Linked DNA regions of Canis lupus familiaris. Each later gene encodes a partner of the first gene's protein in a complex. Links are inferred from orthologs where the notes say so. Each region holds a gene or a part of one and is shown on either strand. Other genes may lie near its edges.

The links.
Region 2: the proteins of SF3B5 (region 1) and DDX42 are in contact, whole or in part, in a cryo-EM structure (PDB 7EVN), measured with the Homo sapiens proteins. The link is inferred for Canis lupus familiaris from reciprocal best matches to the Homo sapiens genes SF3B5 and DDX42. Residues at the interface, in NP_112577.1 of Homo sapiens: Arg4, Tyr5, Thr6, Ser9, Gln10, His13, Leu14; in NP_031398.2 of Homo sapiens: Asp156, Ala159, Tyr160, Phe161, Tyr163, Met164, Asn167.
Region 3: SF3B5 (region 1) and RBM48 share a complex: the UniProt entries of both Homo sapiens proteins name them as parts of the minor spliceosome. The link is inferred for Canis lupus familiaris from reciprocal best matches to the Homo sapiens genes SF3B5 and RBM48.

What each region holds. Positions count from the first base shown.
Region 1 is NC_049222.1:35,794,254-35,798,161, forward strand, and holds SF3B5 (splicing factor 3B subunit 5), read right to left. Parts: upstream 1,959-3,908; 5' UTR 1,825-1,958; coding exon 1,564-1,824; 3' UTR 1,214-1,563; downstream 1-1,213. UniProt on the Homo sapiens protein: Component of the 17S U2 SnRNP complex of the spliceosome, a large ribonucleoprotein complex that removes introns from transcribed pre-mRNAs.
Region 2 is NC_049230.1:15,154,241-15,159,428, forward strand, and holds part of DDX42 (ATP-dependent RNA helicase DDX42), read right to left. Parts: intron 4,815-5,188; coding exon 4,538-4,814; intron 3,655-4,537; coding exon 3,428-3,654; intron 1,783-3,427; coding exon 1,672-1,782; intron 502-1,671; coding exon 400-501; intron 1-399. UniProt on the Homo sapiens protein: ATP-dependent RNA helicase that binds to partially double-stranded RNAs (dsRNAs) in order to unwind RNA secondary structures. Unwinding is promoted in the presence of single-strand binding proteins.
Region 3 is NC_049235.1:18,067,076-18,072,481, reverse strand, and holds the start of RBM48 (RNA-binding protein 48), read right to left. Parts: upstream 2,933-5,406; 5' UTR 2,922-2,932; coding exon of another isoform or gene 2,888-2,921; coding exon 2,777-2,887; intron 2,705-2,776; exon of another isoform or gene 2,549-2,704; intron 1,758-2,548; coding exon 1,567-1,757; intron 1-1,566. UniProt on the Homo sapiens protein: As a component of the minor spliceosome, involved in the splicing of U12-type introns in pre-mRNAs.

The DNA.
Region 1 (3,908 bases):
AAGCAGACAGGAGAGTCCAGCTCTTTTCTGTTAAACCTGACATTGACATTGAAGACATTTGCAAAACTGTTTTTTTTTTTTAATTCTTCTCACTGAATTGCTTTTGGAAAAAGTTATTTTTCATAAAGTGTGTTTGCTAACATGTAATGGTTTTATTGTTATCTACACGAATTACTAAATATTTTACAATTTTGTTTTAATTTCCAATTTGATGAATATCAACAGCTAGAACCCTCATTAACAGACTCTGTGGTATTCAAGAATTTTTAAGAACGTAATGAAGTCCCAAGGCCAAAAGGTTTGAGAATTACTGATCTAAAATATGTCAGCTCACATTACTTAAAACCATTAGTCCCAATGGCTCCTCATTCCCCTCAGGATAAAGTCACAAGTTCTTGCACTGGCCTAGCAGGCTCTACTCTTACCTGTTCCTCCTCCATCACCCATCCCTCTACTCCTCCCCTTGCTCACTCCCTCCAGCCACATTTGCCTCTTTGATGTTCCTCCAAAAAGCCAGATAATTTCAGTATTACCACCATTGCACTAGCAGTTCCCTCTGCCTGGAAAGCAATTCCCTGTTTTCTGTGTGACTATTTCCCTCCCTTCCTTAGTCTTGCTCAAGTGTAACCATCTCTATAGTCTAACATAAGCATCTTGTTTGAAAGTGCAAACGTACTGCTACTCCCATCCTGCACAACACCTAATAAACTTGTTTATGCCTACAATTTGTGTGCCCCCCCAAGTATAACATAAGCTCCAAAAGCGAGGCAAAATGCCCACCACATAGAACTGACTCAACAAGTATTTGTTGAATGCCGAATGAATGAAAGAACTCGTCTGACAGCCTGTCGTTTTTCAGGATGTGTCCAGAATCCCAAGAGAAAGAGACGATGCAACTTACATAGAGGAGTGGGCAATGCTAGTAAAGATTTTTCTGAATGCAAGAACATGAAAGAGGGATACAGTGATCATAAACCTTAATCCTCAGTCCTGAAGGCATTATGGGCCTGAAAAAAGCTCTTGGGAGAAGTCTGGGTTGGGGAATATTATAAAGATCGTGCAAGGCGGATTTAACTGTATGCCAATGAACGCTGGCCCTGTGCTCAACTCCTCCACCCATCCATCTCCCGCCTCTTCGGTCTCCCAAGAAACTAAAGTCCCCAAAGCCCTCCTTGGACCCCCTTCCACTCAAACGCAAGTGGTCCACACCAAGTGATTGAAAAACTTCTAGACTTTATGGAAAAAGAAACGACAATCAACTAGCCAAAAAAGAGCCTCCAAATCCCGTCTGATCCCAGTTCCTTCCCCCCTCTCTTGCTGGTTTAGGACCTCTCCACCGTCTCAGTTCTCACGGGTCCTGACAGTCTCCCAACGCTGTTCCTAAGGGTCCACAGGAAAGCAGGTCAGGCGGGACGGCCTCAGCTAAGCACTTGTGCACGAGGAAGGCGCGAGAAACAGGAGCAATGGAGAACCGGTCCACTTCGGGGCAGGAACACGCGGGAGAAACGGCAAACGGGAGGAACTCGGGACACGCTCCCGCGTGGCAGTGACGAGACGGGGGTGTCAGTTCTCCTCCGGCTTGTCGGCTGGCGGTCCGCAAGGCTGCAGCATCTTCTCCATCAAGTTGAAGCGGACTCGCGCTTTGCTCTCATTCTCCGCAATGGCGAAGTAGTTGAGAAGGTCGAAGTGGCCCATGTAGGAGCAGTAGGAGTCGCGGTGCTGGTTTACCAGCCACTCCCACTTGGTGGTGTCGGCGTGGCCCGTGCCGATGTACTTGGACTGCAGGTGCTCCAGCTGGCTGTGGATAGTGTAGCGGTCAGTCATCTCGCCGCTTTCCCTTCGCGCCCAGGTCAGACGCCGCAGAGGAGAAGCTGCTCTAGACTTCCACGCGGGAGAGAGCCCACGACACGGCACCTCCCGGCCGGCTCAGTCGCAGGAGAATGACGTCACAGCCACGGAGCCGCGAGGACTCGCGGTCCTAGCGCTCAGAGGAGGAAGCGGAAGTGTATTCCGTCAGGGAATTGGAGTTGCCTAGGCGACGCTACCAGTCGGCCGCCCACCCCCCGCCCCCGCCATGGAGAGCTCCGCCCCCTCCGTAGAGCGTTGCATCATGGTTCATTCAGTGGCCCTTGCTCTAGCGCGGAGCGTTGCATGCCGGGAGCTGCGGTCGCCGAGGGTTCGTGCGCGCCCGCCTCCCTGGGCGGTCGTCGCGGTTTAAGAGCCCGCCGGCGCCTGGTGGAGCGTCGTGTCGGGGAGGCGGGGAGCATCCCTGGGCGGCTGGGAGCTGCGAAGAAATGGGGAGCTGCCACAGGCCGCCGTGAGAGTAACCTCGGTGTAACTTTGGTTTCGGAGCGAATGTGGCGGCGTGGTGGGCCCCGTCACGGCCCGGGGTGGGTCACCCTGAGAATCGGTCGACGCGACTGCGGCTCCCAGCTGTGCGTCTTCCTTCAGCGCTGGCGGGGCCGCCGTTTCCCGCCCGGTGCCCGAGGACCCTACGGGCGCCGACACGTTCGGGCGCCGACACGTTCGGGCTCCCACACCGAGCCCCGCCCCCCCCGCCCCCCCCCGCCCCCCGGCGCTCCAGCTGCTTCATTTGATGTCCTGCCTCCAGCTGCTCGCCCCACCCTACGCACCCCAGCCTGTGTGTCTCAGCATTCCGTGCCGCTCGCCTCTCCAGTTCTTTGTACTAGATGTTCCCTCCGCTTGGAATGCTTTTGTTCCCTTGGCAAACAACTTCTCTCTTTAAGTCAGCTCAAAAGCATCTCCTTGAAATCGGCTTTGGCCACACCAGACAGACGTAAAGTCTCCTGTACATCGCTTCATTATGATCGCCTTATAGCCTACGCTTTGGGTTCTTTTTTTTTTTTTTTTTTTCTGAGAACTCCCTCGTGTGAATTCAAACTACTTGGGGGAAAGTAGCGTATACTTTTTTGATGCCATCATTTATCATAGCTTCTTTTGTGGCATCTTTTTTGTGATAACCACACTTGCGATACTTGGCCTGGTAGAGCTCGCATTCTCAAAAAACGTTTGATGAATGGATGAACAACTGTGGCAGCAAATAGAAGGGACTCTTTAGTGGGAGAAAGATGACTTTAAAATAGTTCTGTTCTGCAGTTAGGTACAGATGAGTAAGTCTAGAGATCTAATGTACACACAGCATGATGATTGAAGTTAATCCTGTATTGAATATTAGAAATTTGCCAAGAGAGTGGATTTCAGGACGTGTTGATTAGCTCAACTGTAGCGATCATTTCATTATGCATATCCATTAAATCATGTTGCAAACCTAAAACATAAGCAATTTTTATTTTCTAAAAAAAAAAAAATATTTAAAGGAAAGAAAATGACAAAAAGCATTCTTTATGGGAACAAATGCCTGTACCAAAAATGGAAAAATAAAAGTCTTATTCTTTGGTTTAAACCATGTTATATAACATTTCATTCCTAAAATGTGGAGACTGTTATAAGATATACCTGAGGATTCACTGTCCAGATATATCAGAGCTTACCATTTTGCCATTGCTTCCAACTTGGTTATATTTGTTTTGGTTTTGGTTTTCAAAGACATAAAATATAAAAAATGAAGTTCTCTGTGTTCCCCTCCATAATCTATTTACTTCAAGAAACCAGCTTGAATTTAAAGGTCACCATTTCCCAGTCTGGTTGGGGTTTTTTGTTTTTGCTGTTGATTGCTGAAAGTTTGTGTATCTAAGGGGTTATTTGAAGTTTAACATAAATGATACCCTGTGGGTATTTTTCCCTCATCAGAATCCATGTTAATATACGCGGTTTTAGTTCATTTTTCCTGTTGTGTACACGTTGTTGAATTAATATACCATAATGTGTCCATTAACTCAATGATAGACATTTAATTTTACATATTTGCATAAGAAACAATGCTGCAA
Region 2 (5,188 bases), on another chromosome or scaffold:
TTAGCTAGCTAACTGGAGGGGTAAGTACAGATGGGTTCAGAGTTCACAAGAGCTATAGAATCAAACTTGTTTTAGTTAAGAAATGGCAATCTCAACCAGATTACAAGAGCCTTGGGTAGACAACACTGTTGGCTATTGAGGCAGGGAAGGAACATCAGTCCTGTAGCAGTATAACAGTCCCAGGTTCTGGGAGGATGGAAGGCTGTAATCAGTAGATTTTCTACCTTCTACACCTACAGCTCTAGGTAAGTGACCACAAAGTTGATACTCAAAGCCAAAAGCTGTGAGAGGGTCCTAAATCTAGCCTCAAGCCTTCAATTCCAGCTACCATCTCTGAAATACTAGGCCCCTCATCACAGTCCCGAGAGTTGCTGGTGAAAACTTTCTAAAATTTCAGACCTGGAAAGCTGCTTTCATTGCCGTCAGCCGATCTCCCATGGCTCCTGTGGAAGGCTTATAGGCCTCATAATTACTCATCACATTGTTGTTATTTCCTCGGTCCTTTAAAAAAACAAAAACAAAAACAAAACACACCTGTGAGGACAGAATGAGCACAATGCCAGAATAGGTCTCATATACTAGAAATAAGTGGGCACTACAATGGGAACAGGACACTTTATTTTGTGGGAATAGGTACAGTAATAATTATTTTAAAATGCTTATGTCTTTCTTTTTTTTTTTTTTGCTTATGTCTTTCAACCCAGTAATTGTTTTTAGGAATTAACCCTAAAGTCAAATAAAAAAATCCCCAAAGCTGATCATACGATATTATTCAAACCCAAACATAGTGTTTATGTAATTCTGTGTAGTTTTATGCTCAGAATGAAGAGGCCATGAGGCAATATATAGCATATGCATATAGCCTATACAGGGCTCAGGCTCTGAATCCACTCTTTTAAAAAAGTCCAAGTCTCAGTTTCAACATTTATCAGAGTGCAACCTGGGGTGCCTCAGTTTCATGACTTGTACACTGTGCTCACTGGGTGGTTGTGAAGATTGAGTTAACAGGCATGACTGCTTGCAGTGGCTGGCCCTGGCACACATTAAGTGCTCAACATTAGCTATAGTTATCATGTGTCATGTGCATCATTGTTACTGAGACATGGGAGCGATTCGTTATCAAAAACACCAAGCTAATGATATTGCTCCAGAAATACATAAACTGGCAGCTTTCTTCGGTTTAGGAATCAAAGTGACAGGAAATAGGCAGTTAAAGAAGCCAGTGAGGAGGTGCTTTTGTTACCTGTTTTGTGAGAAAAGCTTAGCTCTCATCTCCCTGATGCAATTTCCCATAGAGTGTAGAAAGCATTCCTGAGTTTAGTAAGAAAACAGAGTTCACAAAGTAACCCTATGGCAAGGTTTTCCTAGCAGCAGGCTCTTAGCCAGTGCTGGGGGGCTTAAGTTTCTGATTCACCAGGTCTAGGGTGGAACACGAAATTGCATTTACTGATGGCCCAGGGACCTCAATATGTAAACTGCTGCTAATCTAGACTGATTTCCTGAGTATGTCTAGTCACCAAGTACGCAGAGGTGTTTCAAGAGGAAGTTAAAACATTCCCTTCTAGACAGGGTTCTGAATTCATGAAGGCTTTGTCAAGCAGAGGAGGACAATCATAGCATCCTCCAGGACTCGGGAGCAGCCTGAAGGGCACTACAACAGTCTGGACTCACCGTGTTCTCCGAGCCTAGGCCAGGGCGCTCCCTATAGCCTAGGCCACCTCCACCAATGTTCAGCTTTTTGCCTTTTCCTCCTTTAAAGCGGGATTTCCGAAACCAGGCATTCTGCACACAATTCAACATAATTCAAGGTTAGATCACAGGAGGAAGAGGCAGCCAGAGGAGGAGGACATTATCAGAAAGTGGAAGAAATAAACTGCTTCATCTTTAGCCAGTATATTTATGGCAACCGTTCACAGGAACCACAGATGAGCTTCTTTTGGGAGTTTAGTCTACCAAATTTGTCAGGAGGCCTAGCTCCTTATCTGAGGCTTCCGTTATTACTGTTTCTCAGGGCCTCCAGGAAGAGAAATGAGTAGGTAAGCCTCAGATACAGAGCACTTACTCTGACCATTTCTAACTTTCTTGAGGAAAAGGAACTGATTTTCTGTTTCTCAATGTAGACATACCACTGGACATACACACATTGAGCTTATAAGAGGGCTTGGAAGTGAAAGAAAGGCTATGTGAAGCGAGGTTCATCAGAACTGGCTCTAGGAGCAGACGTTTAGGACTGCTAGCCAATAACTGAAAGTTTTATTTACCCATGGCCTATAGTGTTCCTTGAATCTGACCACTGCCAGCATACTGTAAGATTTATTTAGTTCTTTTCAGAATACAAATATCAACGGGAGAGGTAGCCCTTTATCTGATAATCACATGTTACAACCTAAGCGAAGTACTGGAGAGGTAGGGCTGTCTTCAGAAAAGCACTGACCAGGGAAGCTGATCACAGTCTGAGGGCACAGAAAGCCTAAAGCACAAAAAGAGATGTAGGAAAAAATCCAAAGACAAGATAATTCTGTTAAAAAATGTAGTTTACGGGATCCCTGGGTGGCGCAGCGGTTTAGCGCCTGCCTTTGGCCCAGGGCGCGATCCTGGAGATCCGGGATCGAATCCCACGTCAGGCTCCTGGTGCATGGAGCCTGCTCCTCCCTCTGCCTGTGTCTCTGCCTCTCTCTCTCTCACTGTGTGCCTATCATAAATAAATAAAAATTAAAAAAAAAAATGTAGTTTACAATTGGCTCACTGAACCCAGGAGAGGGAAGGATACCTCATTCTACTCCTTCCTGCAATTCAGGTCCTTTACTCTCAGAACCCAGAGCACAGGCAACAGTACCATACTGTAAGTGCAGTACAGGTTAACTGTCCTGTACACTGACTTATAAGTCTTAAAAACACCTAAGTCTCTACTATCAGAAGGTGTATATTGAACCCATTTGTAATCTAGAGATGACATCTATTACAATGACCCAGGATTTAATTCGGTAGAATGTCTAGCTTAGTTTTAGGTTAGTAATGAATGTGGTCAAAGATCTGGGACCTATGTCTATGAGAAATAGTCTATTAAATACATCGTTTTCTTAAGACATTACATGTTTTTAGCCTCCAAATGAGAAGAATGGAGAAAGGACAGTAAGGGGAAAAGTAGCCATCTTTGAGATTGCTATGGGGCAAGCAGGCAGAAATTTCAGAGGGACAGATTTTAGGAATAAGCTTTTCAAATAGATGTTGCTGAAAGAAGAGGATAGAATGAAAGACCAGATGAATTTTAATGTTCTAAAATACTAATCTGTACCTCATAAGCAGTGCCCCCCACCCATGGCTGCAACTTTCCAGTCCTGTGTCTATGTTATTCCCCCAGGCTTGCTGAATTTTTTTCACTTAGTTTTATAACCTGGAGCAATCTCAAGTGTACTCAGCCCCTCACCTGCATTGCCAGATCTAGGAGTTCCTTGGAAACATGCTGATTGGCTCCTTCCAAGTTCCGGACAAGGTCACCAGCAAAATTGCTGTCCTTGGGGGTCAGTAAGGTATAGGCCACACCTTTCTCACCCGCTCGTCCCGTGCGGCCAATCCTATGAGTATGAGTATCAATATCTCGTGCCACATCATAGTTAATGACAGTCTTAATTGAAGGAATGTCCAGACCACGGGCTGAAATAAAAACCACCAACTTTTTTTTATTCTTTAGTAGGAGTAAAAAAAACCCGGACTAACCCAAAATGCTAGCCAAGAGCCCACATTCCTCTTATATAGACAAAGTACATGGTTTGGTGATCTAGTAAGATACAAGCATTTAGGCTCCTGGTGACTCAGTGGCTGAGCATCTGCCTTCAGCTTGGGTCGTGATCCCAGGGTCCTGGGATCCAATCCCGCACTAGGCTCCCTCTGGGGAGCCTGCTTCTTCCTCCCTCCCTCTCTCTCATGAATAAATAAATAAAATCTTAAAACAAACAAACAAACTTTAAAGTTACCCTAAAGCAAATGCCACTATCATCAATTCTACGATGCTAGGCTGTTTAGCATAGGGGACACATGGCTTCTGCCATTAATAATATACCATGGCCTCTCTCTTACACCAGGAATATGTAAAATAAAGCATCAAACTGCTTTGAAGTCGAGAAATTATCTCCCTTATTGAGAGAAAATACCAATTTTTAAGGGTAGCTATCAAAACAAAACCAAAAATCATACTTCAAAAAACTTTTCAACTTTGAGTGAAGTACGCGCAATCAATGTCAGGTAGGTACTATGTTTAGACACATCATAAAGGCATAGCCTATGATGTAACTGGCTCAACAATATTTTTCCCTGAGTATCTTTCAACTGCAGGGATTCTTTTTTCAAAGAGAAACATACAGTGAAGATGGTACCCAGAGCTCCAGGTTGTGATCACTTATGGTCTAAACTGCTTGCTCCATTTAGTGTGCCCAAACAGGCCAGTTAGAGGGCCTTCAATCAGCCTGCTCATGTACTCAAGACAGAGCACCCTTACAGCAACAGGAATAGAAGATCACCAGGGAAGGTCGTACTCTACCTGCAACATCTGTGGCCACCAGGACTGGGATGTCCTTTTTCTTAAAATCTGAAATGACCTTGTTTCTTTCGCTCTGATCCATATCCCCATGAAGCAGCCCAAGATTATGACCCTCCTGCTTAAGGTTATTGGCTAGCTCCTCAGCATTGGCTTTTTTAGTAACAAACAGGAGGACACTTCCTGAAGAGGTAAATTCCACCAGACGCCGAGTGAGCCAGTTCCATTTACTAGGCCCAGAATGGAGAATTTCCACAATCTGTGTTACATCTTCATTTGCCTGAAAAGTAAGAAACAGATGACTATGATGTTTGTGCCAAAAGGCACCTGAACAAGGACCAGACATCACACTTTCCATCAACATAAGGACCTTCAACAGTCCTCCTCCTTGGGCTTTCCTTCAGTAAGTCAAGTGCAGCTCAAAACCTACATCCCTTCTCAAATTACTGCACTCACCATCTTCCCCAATTTGTACATATACCTATTTGTAAGCCCCAATATTTTGCAATCTGTTGTTATAGGCCTATTCAGATTACTCCTAATAAATTAAGCTCCTTTTCTGTCCTTCCCATTCACTGCTCCTAGTACAAGTCATACATGCACACAGAAGGCACTCAAAAATGGATAGTAGACAATGTCAAAATACTAACACCA
Region 3 (5,406 bases), on another chromosome or scaffold:
ATGATATTCAACAAATACTTATCAAACATATGTAACTGGCTAAGCATTATACTACAATAAATATTTAAGTACTTGCGTGTCTAGGGATAATGATAGAAATACTTATTGAGATTTTATCACACACCAGGCAGTGCCCTAAGTACTTCACCTGAATTAAGATTTCATAAAACCCTATGAGGACCTAAGGAGGCCTCAGGAGATTTATAATTTAGCCATGCTCACACTAGTTTGTGGAGTTATGATTCAAATTGAGATGCTGAACTCCACAACCTACCATATTATGTGCTGTGGGAGATGCAAAAACTCTAGAAAATATGCTTCGCTAACTATGAGGGGAAGTTGGTTAGGGGAAGTGAGATCACATAAGGGAGCAAACTGAGAACAATACATAACCCTATAAAAATCAAGTGCTTTTGTGGCAGACTGCAAGTGCTATTTGGAGTACGGAAAGACAATGTGAATGGTGGGGCACCTGACTGACTAAGTCGGTAGACCATGTGATGCTTGATCTTGGTGCTGTAAGTTTGAGCATGTTGGGGATACAGTAATTAAAATCTTTTTTTTTTTTTTTTTTTTAAAGAGAAAAAGGAAGTATGAATGGTAATAGCCAAAGGATGGATATTGGAGCAAATTAGTGACAAGAATGGGGTAAACATAAAACTAGATGAGGCATTTCACCCTTATTGAAGCACAGAATTTATGCAGAAGGCAGGAAAAGACTGAGTCAATTCACATAGGTGCATAACATTAAGAACTTCAATAGCGGACAGCCCAGGTGGCTCAGCGGCTGGAGACCAGGATTGAGTCCCATGTCGGGCTCCCTGCATGGAGCCTGCTTCTCCCTCTGCCTGTGTCTCTGCCTCTCTCTCTCTCTGTGTGTCTCTCATGAATAAATAAATAAAATCTTTAAAAAAAAAAAAAATCCCAGCAAGTTTAAAGAAAAAAAAAAAAAAAAAAGAACTTCAATAGCTAATGTTTACTGCATTCTCAACAGGAGGCACTATGTTTCAGCCCTTTACATGGATTATTTCATACCATCCTCACACAACCCTCAAAGTAGGTCCTTTTACTGTACAGATTTCAGAGACTAGAAAAAACAGGCTTGTTGAGGTTAAATGACTTGTCCAAAGTCACGATGTTAGTAAGCTGTGAAGTTCGAAAACTTATCCAAACCCATTTTGTAATCTACCACAATATATGACTGAAGATTGTTAAGCAAGGTAATGACATTTAAGACTGGAGTTAAGATAGGGCAGCCTGGGTGGCTCAGCGGTTTAGCACCTGCCTTCAGCCCAGGGCGTGATCCTGGAGACCTGGGATCAAGTCCCACGTCCGGCTCCCTGCAGGGAGCCTGCTTCTCCCTCTGCCTGTGTCTCTACCTCTCTCTCTGTGTCTCTCGTGAATAAATGGGTAAAATCTTAAAAAGAAAAAAAAAAAAAAGACTGGAGTAAGATTAAAATAATACAGCGTTACTCAGTAATTCAGGTATGAACGAGGGACAACTGGGACCAATGTGCTAGCAATGGGAATGGCGGAAATGAAACTTAAGCTTAACTTGCACATTACCTTGCACTTTGTAAATTCATAAATTTAATAAGATAAACTTCCGTAAAGTCTTCTGCTGGGTATTCATCTAAAGCGTTATACTGTTCAATTGCACCATATAGAGCAAATCGCTCAACTAATTCCTTCATTGCTCCCACCGCAGGAACTCCTTGAATTAACAAGTACCGAGATTCCAAATTGATTGTATATACCTAAAAGAAATGCAGACACATAAAAATGTATTTTCCACATATTAGTGAACCCATGTGATACCTGCCTTTCTCTGATTGACTTATTTCACCAAATAACATAATACTCTCCAGTTCACTAATACATGGAATATAAGAAAGAGCGCAGAGGATCGTAGTTAAGGGAGGGAAAACTGAACGGGAAGTCATCAGAGAGGGAGAAACACCAAGAGAGACTCTTAACTCTAGGAAACAAACTGAGGGTTGCTGGAGAGGAGGTGGGCGGGGATGGGGTAATTCCGTGATGGGTACTAAGGAGGGCACATGATGTTATGAGCACTCGGTGGTGTACCTAACTGATAAACTATTGAACATCTGCATCTGACACTGTGTACTATACGTTGGCTAACTGAATTTAAATTAAAAAATGTATTTTCCAAATAAGCCTAAGACACATCTTCTATTTAAAAAAAAAGAAGAAAAAGCTCTGGGGATTAAAGAGTACATTTACAATGATGAGCACTAAATAACGTACAGAGGTGCTGAATTATCATATAGTACACCTGAAACTAATATAACGCTGTAGGTTAACTATACTAGAATTAAAATTAAAAAAAAAAACAAAAAACTTAAAGCCCTGAAAAGAAGAAACATTCTGTTCAGCCGGTCTGCAGAAAAAATAAAGAATAAATTCACCCCTCCGTGTCAGGGCCTCTAATTAAAACACAGAGTATCTTCAATGGACATATTTTCCGGAAGTTGGCTCAGGAGAAGTTAACTGGAGAGAGAGCGAGAACGATTCACTGAGCGCTTACCACGTAAGCACGGAAGATACAAAGACTAAAGCGGAGCCCCGTCCCCGCGGAGCTGACGTTCTAGCAGGTAGCCGAGGAGTTCGTGAGAACGTCTGGTAACTGAGCGCCGGCCTCTCGTCCCACCGCCGATGCCTGGTGGGCAGGCCCGCAGCCCCTCAAGCCTTCATCTATCAAGCCGGGCATGATAACGCTATCGAGGATAGCGAGTGAAAACCCAAGTCACTTTACCTTGACAGCGCGAGGCCGCCGCCCCTCCCGATACTTGGCCCGCGTGTCGCACACGGCCCTCTGGACGTGGTGATCGAATACGCCCCCGAGCTCCCCGCCGCTCGACGCCATCTTGCCTACTTGGCTCCGGCCAAAACGACAACATCCGCCGGGCCGCCCTCCCGCCCACCCAATGACGGAGGGGAATGGGCCACGGCGTGCCTGGATTGGCTGGAGAGCCGACGGCGGCCCGCATCGTTTCCGGCGAGTGAGACTTGGGTGAGCGAGGTGCCGCCCTCCGGCGGCGCGGCGGAGAGGCCCGGGACTGCTGGGGAAGCTTGCTTGCCCCTCCCTCCTCGGACGGGCGCGCGGCGAGGGGGCGGGGCCGCAGGGGGCGGGGCCGATCGATCTTCTCCGGCTCCGACGGCCTCGGCCTGCCCCGCGGCGGGCGTCGGCTGGAGCGGGCTGCCGCGGCGGGGGCGTCTTCGGCGCCGGACGATGTGGGGCGGCGACCGCCTGGCGGGTGCAGACGGGGGTGGGGTGGCGGCGACTGTCGTCTTCACCAACGCTCGCGACTGCTTCCTCCGCTTGCCGCGGCGCCTCGTGGCCCAGCTGCACCTGCTGCAGGTACCGCGCCGCCCGCGGACGGGGCTCCCCGCCCAGACTCGGGACACCTGGGAGCAGCCTGGGGGCGGACGGGGCTGAGGCCTTGGAGGCACGCGGCGACCCTCAGGCCCCCCGCCCCGAGCGGCGTGGCGAGGGCTGCCTTTCCGCCGTCGCCGCCGAGCGGTTCAGAGGCCGGACTGAGGGCCCCTCGAGGGCACGGCCGCCGGGGGCAGGTCGTGCAGCCCTGGGCCTTTAACTTGCCCTGTTCCAGGTGTTTTCACTCCATGAGACTGGGCTTACAAACATCCTAAGTCTACGTCTGCATTCAGAAATATTCCTCACTCCGGTTTGGAAAAGCTCCTGGGAAGTCGCTAATTTTTATTTTTATCTTGAAAAATGTTTTTCTTGGCAGTGATTTCCAGATCCCTGCACGACTGCCGTCCTGGACTCCAGAAGGAGGGGCGGGTTGGGTTTGCAGAGCCCCTGTAGATTAACAGCGGAGCACCGCGGCCCCCATGCGGAGTAGGTCACTAACCAGAGGCTCCCCCCAGTCCGGGGTGTGCCGGGGATGTGCAGTAGAACTCTGCATACCTGGAGGTACATAGGTAGGATTACTTGAGCCTCTGCCGTCAGTCGTCCTTTTTTTATTAATTACTGGCAGAAATACAGCATCCGCATTTTCATAGCTAGAGATAGAGACCTGTAGTCTGTGAGTCTGTGTTTATGCAGGCAAAGGGATGGGATCTTTGAAATCCTCAGAAATCCTGAATGCATGGTACCCACAACTGGCTCATCATGAGGGGGATATTTAAGAGTTTCCAATAGTTTTAAGTACCCGACCTTTCCATCTTACTTCTCTGGAACTGTTTTTTTCTAGATTATTCCCCCCCCCCCTAGAATTATTGGACTAGAAGGCATAGGTGAATTATTAAAGCAGGAAGTCATGAATTGGGAGCTAATGTGTTGAATTATTTTATCTGGGCTGAAGTGTGGAGTACATAATACTGTAATGCTGTAAAGGGGAAGAGGGTCAGAAGAGTGGTTTTCTGGCCTGTGTCAGGCTTACCTTGAAGCTTTTAAAAATGGGAATGTTCTGGTCCTTTCTCAGACCTGTTGAATCAGAATCTTGGTGAGTGAGCTTCAGGCATCTGTAATTATAAAAATACCTTTGGGCTAGTGGATGCAAAGGAACTGAGACTCGCTGTTATAGAATCATAGAATGTTAATGGTGATAGGGACCTGGGGTTTCTAGGTCATTTCTGTACTTTCACATGTTAGGAAACTAGCAGTCCTAGGGAGGGTACCATTTCTAGTTAATTTGTCCTCTTGTCTCTCACTCTGCAGCATCCAGACTGGCCTTCTCACTGTTTCTTTCATAACCCAGCTCCTCCCTACTTCTGTACTCTTACTCATGCTATTCTTTCTCCCCAAAACGCTTTTCTTCATTTTATGCCTTCAGAAGCTGAACATAATCTTATACCTCCTCCATCTGGCTTTCAAATTCTCAGTTGATCACATTTGTCTCCTTTTCAAAACTTCACTGTTTATGTGACACATCCCTCTTGTACTCTATGTTTCAAGTATCATCTTTTGCTTATCCAAGTACTTATTTTGGGGCTGGATACGCAGTAGATGCTTTAACCCAGGATTTTTTAATCTTGGCACTTGAGGCTGGGTAATTTTTTGTTGTGGGAGACTGTGAGTATTTTAAGATATTTAACAATATCTTTGACCTCTTTCCACTAGATGCCAGTAGTACACCTCCTCCAGTAGTGACAGCCAAAAAATAAAAGTTTCCACATGTTGCCAGATGTCTCCTGGGAACAAAAATCACCGCCAGTTGAGAACCATTGCTCTAACTCCGTTATTTTGTCTGTATGCTGGGCTCCGTGCTTCCTGTGATTGCTGAAATGGGGAGAGGGTTCACAGCCACACTGAATGCAGACAAATCTAAATCTCCATCCAGAAATGGCTGGGTACAAACTTAGCATTTCTTTTGTGTTAGCAAGGGAGAACCCAGGCCTTGGATCTGGCTGGTCTAAGGG